Drosophila melanogaster: one gene and its partner. The protein of the gene in region 1 interacts with the protein of each later gene in a pairwise test. Each region holds a gene or a part of one and is shown on either strand. Other genes may lie near its edges.

Evidence for each region.
Region 2: the proteins of CG1677 (region 1) and Pgant7 interact in a two-hybrid assay, tested with the Drosophila melanogaster proteins (one large-scale study listed by BioGRID).

The regions. Positions count from the first base shown.
Region 1 is NC_004354.4:7,402,781-7,407,922, forward strand, and holds the start of CG1677 (uncharacterized protein), read right to left. Parts: upstream 3,018-5,142; 5' UTR 2,365-3,017; intron 395-2,364; exon of another isoform or gene 320-394; coding exon of another isoform or gene 1-319. Other genes in the region: CG15035 (uncharacterized protein), read right to left, coding at 1-319; CG32727 (uncharacterized protein), read left to right, coding at 4,527-4,721, 4,781-4,954.
Region 2 is NC_004354.4:18,494,269-18,501,833, reverse strand, and holds Pgant7 (polypeptide N-Acetylgalactosaminyltransferase 7), read left to right. Parts: upstream 1-1,847; 5' UTR 1,848-2,397; coding exon 2,398-2,602; intron 2,603-3,412; coding exon 3,413-3,889; intron 3,890-4,331; coding exon 4,332-5,425; 3' UTR 5,426-6,767; downstream 6,768-7,565. Other genes in the region: Xrcc2 (X-ray repair cross complementing 2), read right to left, coding at 900-1,652. UniProt on the Drosophila melanogaster protein: Glycopeptide transferase involved in O-linked oligosaccharide biosynthesis, which catalyzes the transfer of an N-acetyl-D-galactosamine residue to an already glycosylated peptide.

The DNA of each region.
Region 1 (5,142 bases):
GAAGTTGAATGTTGATTTTATTCTTCTGCCGCAAGTAGTCCCCCTCGCCATCAAAGTTTCCAAATCCTAAAGTAGTATATTGTGCACTTGTCATGGGATCGAGCCTTTGATTCTGATTTTCGGACATTGAACCATTACCGATATTTTCACTATTTTGGGCGAGCTCCGGGAATGATGCTCCCTTCAAACGGTTTAAAACCTGACCACCTTTATGGGTTAAAATCATGGCTATTTCAAGCAGTTGTTCACAGCATCTGTTGATGCCTTGCTGAATCCTTCGGCGCATTTCTTCGATATCCAGACTTGTTTCGACATCCATAGCCTGCGCTTTCCTTTATACAAAACTATGTGTATATGTTATACGAAATCTACGCGATTGTGTGCTATTCAAACGAATGTCAGACGAAAACTAAATCGAAGGGGTGTCACATCTATTTGACATATATTTCGACTAAATCAACGCCATCTATCATCCATCAGTTGTTAAAAATAAAATTCCACCTAACATAAAGTGTATTGTTATATAAACCTTTATTTTGCTAAGTATTTCTTCTTAATATCGAACTATTTTGCTTTTCCAATCGAATCTCACCTATTTAAATATTTCAGTGAATTTAAACTGCCTATAATCGTTTTGGAACATAGATATAAAGCACATTGCCCACCCGCCTTTATTCCTCCATACCATTTGCCCGTGCCACAAAGATACCTCTGAAAATGGAGGGCTCAACTCAATTATGCACAATTACGGACACAAACAGATACCAAGTGGTGCCACATGGGAATGGAAGCTGGAATGCCCCTCGGATCTGCAAGCCCCATCAAACCAACCGAAATTTTTGGGGCTTCCCCGTGGACTGTGCACTTTTTTGGTTGTTGTCTGGGAATCGGAAGGCAGTCACTGCAATTGCAGTTGCATTTCCAGCTGCACTTGCAGATGTGGCACTTGAATTGCATGCATAGCTCATTGCTTGCCACTCGACTGGGATGAAGTGCTGCAGCTGTGGGTGGTGCAGGTGGCGCTGCACTCAAAAAAAAAAAGGTTTAATACAATTACATTTTTTAATTTCTTAATCGCCTTCTATGATTTTTTGGAAGTAGTTGTTCTATGTAAAATATTATATGGGTACAATATTGACATAACATCATAAAGAAGTTCATCCACTTTTCATGCTGTTACAATACTTATCTAATTAAAATTAATTATTTAATTTAAAAATTTTTTATAATATTTTTTTGTATTTTTTTTTTTTTTTTGTACTGTGTGCTGTTTTTGAAATACCATTGAATTGCTTAAATACATTCATCGTCGTCATCGCTTAATGGCTTGCCTTTTTTGTTGCCATGTCTACTTGGGTTCGTGTTTTCGGTTTCAGTTTGGGTTTGAGATTGCTCCAACCCAAAAAATGGCGATGCAACATATGCGAGTGGCATGAATAAACGGCCTGCTTGAACGAGTGAATGAATGAATGAGTGCACGAATCACTGACTGGATTGGATGGCTGATATGAAGTGCAATCAATGCAAAAACGTTTTCAAGTGCCCAGCATCCAGTTAGTCAGTTAGTCAGCCATCCATCCAGCCATTTATCCAACCATCCAGACTAGACAATCCTAGCACCAGATGCATTTTACTCCCAGTCCCCGAAAACGTGGCTTTTCCACTGGGGCTTGGAGAATGGGAATATTAGATGCACACCAACCATGTGCGTCGATGTGTCGGTGTGAAAGGATTATTCACACACTATTGATTTCAAATTGAGTTGACTTCAAATCCGTCTGAATTGACAGCAGCCAGCAGATGGCAACACATACTATTCTCACTCTCGTTTTCCCATATACCAGATTTCCCAGCCGGAAGTTGACTAATGAATTTAATTTGCAGTGGGTGTTGAGGCAAATACTCGTAGAGCAACTCTCAGGACCCTGAGGACACACAGGACTCATAGAAATCACAGGCTCACAGATCAGCGAACCAGGAACTGACTGATTGACTGCTCCACTCGATGTCCTGATATCCTGATGTCTGGTGTCCTGATGCCGGTAAGTAGGCAACTGTTTTTGTTTACCCACTTGAAGACCCCACATTCTCGATTCGTCCGCAATTGATTGTCATTGCCGGTTTGCCACAAATATCTGACACAAAAGGATTTTTGGATCTGCATTTCTGTATTTCCTGTGCAACTAGACTTTCTGGGTTACAGAATAAAAAAGTAAACGCTCCCTACTTATAGACATATACTTGTGTATACACATTAATAGTTTATATTTATTTATGATTAATATTCTGTGAAATTCCCAATTTAAAAATGCAACATTTCGCGTATATATGTAAATATGTAAATACAATTTGGAGTTAACTTACCGTTAGGTTAAGATAGATTAGGTTAAGACAACAAATCCACGGAGATCGAAACACGCGCACTTACGAAACACGCGCACAAAAGAAAAGTAACGGTTCCTGCATTGCAAAGTTTGCTGCCATGTGAAAAGAAGCGTCACTCACGAAAAATATGCGAAATCTACCATTTAAACTTAAAATTCGATACCGAATTCACCACGCACTTGTGCGATCACATTTAATATAAATCTTTATTGCGTTTTAAACAATTTTAAAGCCGAAAACACGAGGAGTTTCATATGCATGTGTATACAAATTTACAATTTATCTTTTAACCGTTCTGTTAGGTAAGGTTATGTTAAAACAACAAATACACAGAGATCGAACAAGTGCGCACTTACGAAGCACGCGCACAAAAGAAAAGTAACGGTTCCTGCATTGCAAAGTGTGCTGCCATGTGAAAAGTGGCGTCACTCACGAGAAATATGCGAAATCTACCATTTAAACTTAAAATTTGTTACCGAATTCACCACTCAGTTGTGCGATCACATTTAATCTTAATGTTTATTGCGTTTTAAATAATTTTAGAGCTGTAAACCTGAAGAATTTCTATTATTTCCGTTTTTGTCATACAACTGCGCACTTTACTTACGCTCGCGAGAATGAAAACTGAAAGAGGTTCAAACAGAGAAAATGAGAGAGCGCCACATCTCACGCAAGGAAAACGGTAAAAGTTCGCTCGATCTTCGGAATTCTCTCTTCCTAACACTACTCAACAAACAAATTAAATAAATGTTCCCGAATTTTCGTCAGTGCTTTGAAAATGCCAGACAATTGTGTGATGGTCAAGTGGACAATGGAGCTCGCCGCAATTGTTGACTGACCAATGATCAATTTAATAGGAAAACAATATTGATGGCCGAGGAGGACCACTTGGGCGGAATTTCCTATCCAAGGAGTAGATGCTCGAAATCCGGAAGTGTTGCGGTTTTTGGGTAAATTCAATGGGGGTACGAGTTGCTACTCCAGAGTTTTGTTTGTTTGCCTCGAAAACTTGGCAAACTTTTGGTGTTGTGTGTTGTAACTAAATTTTCGAGAGGACAAAGGGCAACAACGGCAACACTTTCACTTCGTCTCGGGGAAAACTCTCTGTTTGGTTTCTTGTGGTTTATTATTCACGCCTGAATTGATTGTAAATTAAAGTTTGTGTCGTTGTGCATTTTGAGGTCAGCCTATGGCAAAGTTTTCTTTTGTGTGTGTGGGCGTGTGGGGATCTTGGGTCCTTGGGTCCAGCCTTTGTCCTCAGCTGTCCTGCTGTCCTGTGTGAGCTTGTGTGTGTGTATGTATGTTGAAGTCCTGTAGTCCTGGGTCCTTGCTTGATGCCCAGCCATATTAGAAGCCAAAAGGCATTCGAGTGCACATAAGACGATTACACATCATTTAACCGAGGCACATTGCAAAACTATGGGGCAAGCCCGAGCCATCACCCCATCCAAGCCCATACCACCCTCACCCCCCCCAGCCTTAATTCCCATCTATTCCCCAGGTCCTGTGTAATTGTTGCTCCTTCTTATTGACTGCTGCATATTGATTATAGCACCCGTCGCCTTGGAGTTTCCTTTCCAAGTTCATTTTCCTTCTTGACTTGACTTGACTTGATTGCCGGCATTTCTCGTTCTTGTTTAAAATTCAATCGCTGCACTCAACTGTGCACGAAATGTATTCATGTGTGTAACTTTAGTTTGGGGGTTTTTGAATTCAACATATACATAAATATATATAAACTATACGTATTTGTGTACATATACTTGGGTGTTTGTTTCGAGACAAAATTAATTTGGTGTTAATAAAGTGAAAGTGCGGCCAGGCTTCAGCCTTTTGTCTGTGTTATAGGCACTTTAAGTTAAAGAAGGCTTAAATTGATTGGCCCTTTAAAACTTTAAAGAGCCCATTTTGATTGGTCTACTTGGAAAAGGATACGTTCAAATTTAAGTTTTACGGTTAGGGATAGGTTCATGAGTTTTAGTGACTCTTGTCTGATGTTTATTCTTGCTTGAATACAAATGATCAATGTACATTAGAATTTAATGTCAAGCATAACATTTTCCATACATTGAATATTCTTTTTAAAATTTTCATACCATAAATATTCTTTTCGATTCGGGCGAAAACTATTCAGAATCAAAATGCAAGCCAGTAAAGTCTCTCCGTCTTTTAGTGACTATCTACCTCTTGTGAGCACGGTTGTGGCAGTGGGCGTGGCTACCTGCTGCGTTGCCGCCCAGATCTTTAGATCGCCCAACAGCACCAAGACGATTGGTCAGCTGAGGTTATGTTTTGGAAATCTAGGAACAGGACGCTTTTATAGCGGATGCTTTCAGGTAATGGCTGTACGTTTTGTTCAAACAAATTCTTTTCCTTAATATAATTATGTATTTAGAAACGGATGTCGCACCGTGAAGCATCTAAAATACTAAGTATTAGTCCTAACGCTCCATGGATCCGACGAGCCATGCTGGCTAAACATCCGGATCGAAACGGCTCACCATATCTGGCGGGAAAAATCCACAAGCCCAAGAATGGGCTGCTGGAGGGAAGAAATCGGTTCAGATAGAAATCGAAAGATTAGGCACTAGATGGCAGGATGTGAAGTTCAACACAGTGTGAGCAGTTGATCTAAATTAAATGTAAATCATTCCCATCATGGCAAGTTATTAAATTATTAAGCAACGTGTATTATTCGCTTCATCTGAGTGTGTAAACATTTCTAAGTATGTGGTATGTGTATACATATGAAAAGAC
Region 2 (7,565 bases), about 11 Mb from region 1:
TTGATTGAATTCGAATGTCTTAATGTTTGTGACTAAGCCATGAAGGAAATAATCGTATTTAAACAGATAATTATTTATTGAAATTACATTTAAATTAATGATTGTATTTAATAATAATTTTTACTAATTTACCGGCTTTTAAGCACTACCAAAATCAATCGGCGGATAACATTAAAAAGCCCCCCCCCCCCCCCTCCTCTCCATTTTAATTGCCATTACCATACACCATCATATTGCTTCTTCTTAAAATGCTAAGAAAACGATAAAAAAGGAAAACGAAAACGAAAAAAAAAACTGCTAAACAAAACCACCTTACTTATGTATAGCTTTTAGAAATCATTAGTTTTAAGTATAATTCTGGTAGGGTTGGCCTTCTTCAAAAACAAAAAAAGAACATAGTGAAGGTTTCAACACAATTTTAAAGAACTGTTGTATTTTTTTTAATTAAGATAATATTACTGATATATAATATTAAATATATTACTGAATGGAATAAGTCATAAAAGCGAACTTTCCTTCTAGATCTATATGGACTATAATTTTCTTTGTTCGAGCGGGTAAAACTAGGAAGATATCACGGAAATTAAAGTATATTTGAGTTCGTAACTATCTAGATAATGTAGAAGTTATACCTTTTTTTTAACTTAATTAGTTGCACAGATTACTTTCTCACTCATAGGCCTTGAAATTGTCTAATAAAGGAGTAATAACAAATATAATTTCTAATCCCTAAAAGGAAGATATTATTAAAGTTAAATTGTTAAACTATATACAATTTTCTTAACCTATCAACTCTATATACAATTTAATCAACTCTATATACTCTATATACAATCGTTTACTTCTTTCAGTTCCTAGCATCATTTTGTCCTAAGATTAATAATAATAATTTAACTATGTTAACTGGGCTGAGTCAGCAATGCCTCAGTAATTTCCTTGCTAGTATTTGTATCCAAATGAATTCCATTGCTAAACGACAGCGGCAGTCCATTCAAGAGGATCTGGTTTTGAATCTTCTGCATCCTGACATGGTACTTTATGCCAGCCTCGGGCAAGTTTTCGCCAAAACGATTCTCCAGAAAGGCAGACTCCACCGTGTACATGCCGCAGACGATGGCATCCTTGCAGAGCTTCTCCAGGCGCGCCTGGAGCAATCGATAGTGGCGATACATGGACATTCTCTTGGCAATCTTAGGCTCATCTAGCCAGTAGAATTCGCTGAGTGTGTCCATGGCAACCAATTGTATGCCAGGATCATTGATGATCGCGTAGCGGGCGTCGATTAGCGACGTGGAAACATCATCGTTTGCAAAACAGTTGAGGAATCGCACGCGACTCATGCACTCGCCCGCAATCTCGGCCAGCTGCTCCTCCGTGGGGCATTTCGCAGCAATCACTTCGCCGACAGAGTACGCCTTCAGCTCCATCCTAATGCTCTTGGCCAGAGATTCACGGTTGATCTTGTGACTCAGATTGATCAGCAGGACGCTCCACTGGCGACCACCGAATTTGTAGGGCACCAGGCAGTGGGCCACCAACTGTTGGAGCACCAGGCTTTTGCCACTGTTCCCTGGGCCGGAGATCTCCACCAGCGTATCGGCTTCAAAGCCGCAGGAGCCAAAAACGGCAAAGTGGAGTTGATGTGAGCCCATTAGGTTAAATTTACAAATTTGCGCCCTGGCATAAACAAAGGAGTTATCGATTGTGGCCTTTATCGATGACAGCCACCTAAAGTTGAATTGCGCAGCGCTGAAACATATTTAACACTAAATGGAACTAGGGCATATCGAATAGTTAAACAACAGCAGCAAGCGTTTCGTTATAACTTTCAGTTAGCATTTAGACTTATTTGCGCACATACATAAAAAAAATCCATTTTCACCACCCTGTGTTATCGCCCAGCCGCCTATCGCTGCTGGTGCCTAATTTAGCCCTAACGCCTGGGCGATGATAGAAAAAACGGCATAACGCGTTCTTACCAGTTGAACATCGTTTTCTACCATTTTTTGTTTACGTTTGCACCGCGAATATTCGTGCACCTGCACTCGCAATTTGCTCAAAGCCAGCGGCGCTTTTTCGCCGGCAAGTTGCTCCGCACCGAGTTAAAGCATCACTCAGGCGGACGAGCTGGTGTACTCCAGTTAGCTTCTCGCCCCAGCACTTGTAATTGTCATTATCGGCGGGGCGCCTTTGATCATTCAGCGGCATCTCGAATCCGAACCAAAAGTGGTTCTTTTGTTCTCTTTCTGCTTTGTGGCCACCTTTCCGCGCTCCCCGCTTACCGCTTCCCGTCTCCCGCGCCGTGCTTTTTCTTTCTGGCCACCTAGACACGTCAACAGATTTGGAACTTTGTAACTGGAATCTGGAACTGGGCATCGGAATCGGAATTAGGGAGAGATGCGCGTGAGCACCATCCGCAGCGGTCGGATCTGCCGGCTGGCATTGTGCCTGCTGGTACTGCTGCCGCTGCTGTATCTGCTGGCCAACTGGAGCGATCACCACAAGCGCGTCCAGGAGGCGTATCACACGCGCTTCGGCGGACCCAAGTTCGCCCACCAGCGATTGGAGGGCAGGCCCAGGGAGGTGCCCAAGCTGGTCGATGGTAAGTGGCTACAGGATCGAGGATAGCAATATCAGCCCTTGACCAGGATAAAGAATAGGATTGTGTCACCCATAACGTGAGCCTTGCCATTAAGATTCCTCACTCACGTATTATACAATTTTATTATGGAGGACTATCATCAGAACTAAGGATACAGAGTAGTTACCATATCATTGTTGAAAAGACCGAGTTGTTTGCTTACTGCAAACCCAGCTAAAGAATTCAGTAATCTTTGCTTTATATCACTTAAAACCGGCTTTTGCTCGTTTTAACCAATTAATTACTTGCCATGTATGCTACATAGTATTCAAAGAAGTCTTTATTACCACGTTTAGCGTGAGTAAAGTATGGTTGGAGGTTAAAGGATAACCTTTTCCAACCCATATCGTACAGTCTATTCCCAGTCTAACTTACGAGCCCATTTCAAATATTTATCGCATTCTATTATACATTCTCCAAAACCGGCTTTGTAATGGCCCTAACCAACCAACTATCAAATTCGGATAGAGTGAGAAAATAACCTCATAAAAGTCATTTTTACTGCACAGCCACCAAAACTAGTGTGTCTTTAGTCTTTTGTATCAAATGCTAATTCTAGTCGTAGAATATTCCATATGACCATAAGATGGTTAGATGATGGCATATTATTGGTCTGTAATACCCCGCCTTTATGCATAAGTCTGAAATTATAACCCACACCTCCTGCAAGCGCATACAGTGAGTGGCTGGGCCAATATTTAAACAATTGCTGTAAGCTTGCATAGGTAATTTGCACGCGCCACACTCACAATTTGTTTTTGCGTTTTTCAGGCCTTGGCAACTTTGAGCCGAAAGATGTGAAGCCACGTAGCGGGCCTGGCGAGAATGGCGAGGCCCACAGCCTGTCGCCGGACAAGAAGCACATGTCGGACGCCTCCGAGATGGAGTACGGCATGAACATCGCCTGCTCCGATGAGATATCGATGCACCGATCGGTGCGGGACACGCGGCTCGAAGAGTGCCGCCACTGGGACTACCCCTTCGATCTGCCGCGCACGAGCGTCATCATTGTCTTCCACAACGAGGGCTTCTCGGTGCTGATGCGCACCGTGCACTCGGTCATCGATCGTTCGCCCACGCACATGCTGCACGAGATCATCCTGGTGGATGACTTCTCCGACAAGGAGAACCTGCGCAGCCAGCTGGACGAGTATGTGCTGCAGTTCAAGGGGCTGGTCAAGGTCATCAGGAACAAGGAGCGCGAAGGTCTCATCCGAACGAGATCCAGGGGAGCCATGGAGGCTACAGGTGCGTATAGCCCATATCTCATTTATGTATATTGTTATGTGTTCTTGCATAACTTGCATAACTCATGACGGCTTATCGCATAGTTAAAAGAACGTGTTGTATGGAAAACAATAGTTTTATCTTGAGATGTTTGCATCAAACGCTGAAACGCCAGCTATTTGGAATTTGAATTGAAGATAACTTCACGTTCCGCTTTGTGGCAATGATAAACCTTTAAACTGCAGACTCATTGAATTTCTTTTACATTTTCTCAGCATAATAGAATTGCCTATCATTGCAATTGAAGCAAGATTATCGTCGATTTCAAACAAGCCTTTTAGCATAAACAGTATGCATAGAAATTTACAAATTACTATTTTAAAGCATCATCCTTTAAATCATCATATTAACCCACAACCTTATAAATATCCACACAAACACTAAACTGCTTTGCATCCCGCAGGTGAGGTGATCGTCTTCTTGGACGCCCATTGCGAGGTAAACACCAACTGGCTGCCGCCCTTGCTGGCGCCCATCTACCGGGATCGCACTGTGATGACAGTGCCCATTATCGATGGCATTGACCACAAGAACTTTGAGTACCGGCCGGTTTATGGCACGGACAACCACTTCCGCGGCATCTTCGAATGGGGCATGCTGTACAAGGAGAACGAGGTGCCACGTCGCGAGCAGCGCCGCCGTGCTCACAACTCGGAACCCTATCGCAGTCCCACGCACGCCGGCGGCCTGTTCGCCATCAATAGGGAGTACTTCCTGGAGCTGGGCGCCTACGATCCGGGTCTGCTGGTCTGGGGCGGCGAGAACTTCGAATTGAGCTTCAAGATCTGGCAGTGTGGCGGCAGCATCGAGTGGGTGCCATGCTCTCGCGTGGGTCACGTCTATCGCGGCTTTATGCCCTACAATTTCGGCAAACTGGCTAGCAAGAAGAAGGGTCCATTGATCACGATCAACTACAAGCGCGTCATCGAGACGTGGTTCGACGACACGCACAAGGAGTACTTCTATACGCGCGAGCCGCTTGCCCGCTACCTGGACATGGGCGACATTAGCGAGCAACTGGCGCTGAAGAAGCGACTGAACTGCAAGAGCTTCCAGTGGTTCATGGACCACATCGCCTACGATGTGTACGACAAGTTCCCGGGTCTGCCGGCCAACCTGCACTGGGGCGAGCTGCGCTCGGTGGCCTCCGACGGATGCCTGGACTCGATGGGCCACCAGCCGCCGGCCATCATGGGCCTCACATACTGCCATGGAGGCGGAAATAATCAACTGGTTCGGCTCAATGCCGCTGGCCAGTTGGGCGTCGGCGAGCGCTGCGTGGAGGCCGATCGGCAGGGCATCAAACTGGCCGTGTGTCGTCTGGGGACAGTCGACGGTCCTTGGCAGTACAACGAGCACACGAAGCACCTGATGCATCGCGTCCACAAGAAATGCATGGCCCTGCATCCGGCCACGCAGCAATTGTCATTGGGTCACTGCGATGTTAACGATAGCTACCAGCAGTGGTGGTTCAAGGAGATACGCCCACGCTGGTAAGTCCAGCATGTTTGGGAGGAGCAGCAGGAGGAGGAGGATCAAGGAATGGATCACAAGGGTTTCAGCCGGGGCAACGGGGGCGATATTTTAGACAAAAGCAATTTAGTGAAAATGAGAAATGGAATTGTTGTTGGTTTTGTAACGCATATAAGTATTGATATACACACGAAAAACACAAGATATCACACACATCTGCATTTATGACGCGAACTGTATGTACATATGCACTGTCGGCACTTGGAAATCGCCTGGGCAACCGGGATTCAGACAAGGGCATTCAATGCTCGGCGAATAAATAAATCCACAAGGATATTATTAAATTATTAAAGCTTAAGAATTTCGATTTTGTAAAACAATGTCGTAAGGAATCGCGAACAATTGTATTTCCATGTAAGCATTAGAACAATTGCTTTTAGACCATATTTGTAGTGCATGAAGTGAATGCAATTTTCAAAATCGTGTGTGTGTGTTAGTAGTAGTCGTACTTGAAAACTGTTTTCCACTTTTGTCACGAAAGATCAAACTCCACAAAATGCACTTAGTGCAGAGCGTACGAAAATCATCACAATTAGCTGATAGTGAACCCATTCCCATTTCGATCGGCGAATCTCATACAATAGATATTCAATTGATATTTGGGAGGATCCAAGCCTGGGGGATTTCCGTGCCGACCTCGTGTGTGTGTGTCCTTGCGTATGAGTGAGAGAATGCGATGGGTATAGAGCGGAAGCGAATAAGAGCGAGATAGCGCGATGGCGGGATGGCGAGTCGAGTGCAATAGAGGATTTATGAAACGGGAACGGGACGCGATGACAGGGCCGCAGATTGTTTTGCTTTATGATTGCCAACTGAAAAAATGAATGTACTAACCTTAGTCTATACTCCTGCAAGTCCAACTAATCCTAGCTTAGTTTCAACGCTGCCACATTCCAATCTAATCCATTATAATCTATTCTAATTCCAATCCAATCCAATCCGAACCGAACCAATCGAGTCTGCAGCGAAGCTCGGCTCTCTTACTACTAATCCCATTATTTTTTTTTAAACTCTTGATTTTCGTAAAGCTCTCTGTACCAGGTAGTCGTAATCGTAATTGATCGTTGCAAGTGCTTCGGGAGTTTGATTTTTGAAAACAATATTTTACATTCATGTGTAACTTTAGAGTTATCGATAAGTCTGAATAATAGCATAGAAATAAAAACGTTTTCTAAACACTTTACCATGTAAGCCGAGCTGTTGAATGTTTAATATTGTGGGGAAGGGTCGATCCATTTATAAATCAATAGATATAATAAAGTTCCCATCTCAAGATGTGCTCACAATTTGAAACCTAAGTGCACAGAACAAGTTCGCATTTTTCGAAAGTTTTTAAAATTTCTTTTAATTTTATATTCTTTTGACGTAGGTGCACCATTAATGCCCCGCCAATTCTTTAAGTGTACGCATAGAATGGCGAGTAAATCCAATTTTAAGCAGATGATTCATAACTTATTGTTAAATCAAATCTACAATTATCGATGGCCGCGTTGATTGGGAGTGGTGATGATGGGTCGATTCGTCTCGAAGGTACTCGACGTCCCACTTCCAGGGAAGTCCACGGGCGATAAGATTCCGGGAAGTTCTTTCCTCCATCGCGGGTAGGGAAGTCTAAAAGCGCGAGGAAGGGGGAGGGAAGTCCAACAGGGGGACGCCAGCAGGTGTCAATCCTGGGGCAATAGATTGCGCCTAGAGTTAGTTTTTGGCTAATCAGGGCCTGAGGAAAAAAAAAAGATTGTTTGTTTACCGTCGGATAGGAAAGGTCGTACTCCCAAAGTGGGAGTCGTGGTCTTATCTTCCGCCCATTGGTACACCATCGCAGCTGCCGGCGGGGCGAAAGGGGGATGATTGGATCCGAGCGCAATAACACCGAAATTGTTCAATTTAATTGAGTGAAGTGGGAAGCTTCCTTATCAGCATTATTATGGTTACACTTCCGTGGGGTCGCTGCACTGTAAGGTGCTAGATATAAAAAAAAGCCCAATAACTCATTTATTTATCCTCTAAGCTCTAATTCAATACAAGAGTTTCATTTCTGAACGAGAAGTAGAGCAGTTCCAGCGTCGGTGTGACTCTTTTTCCGGTATTGGATTAGACATTGTCA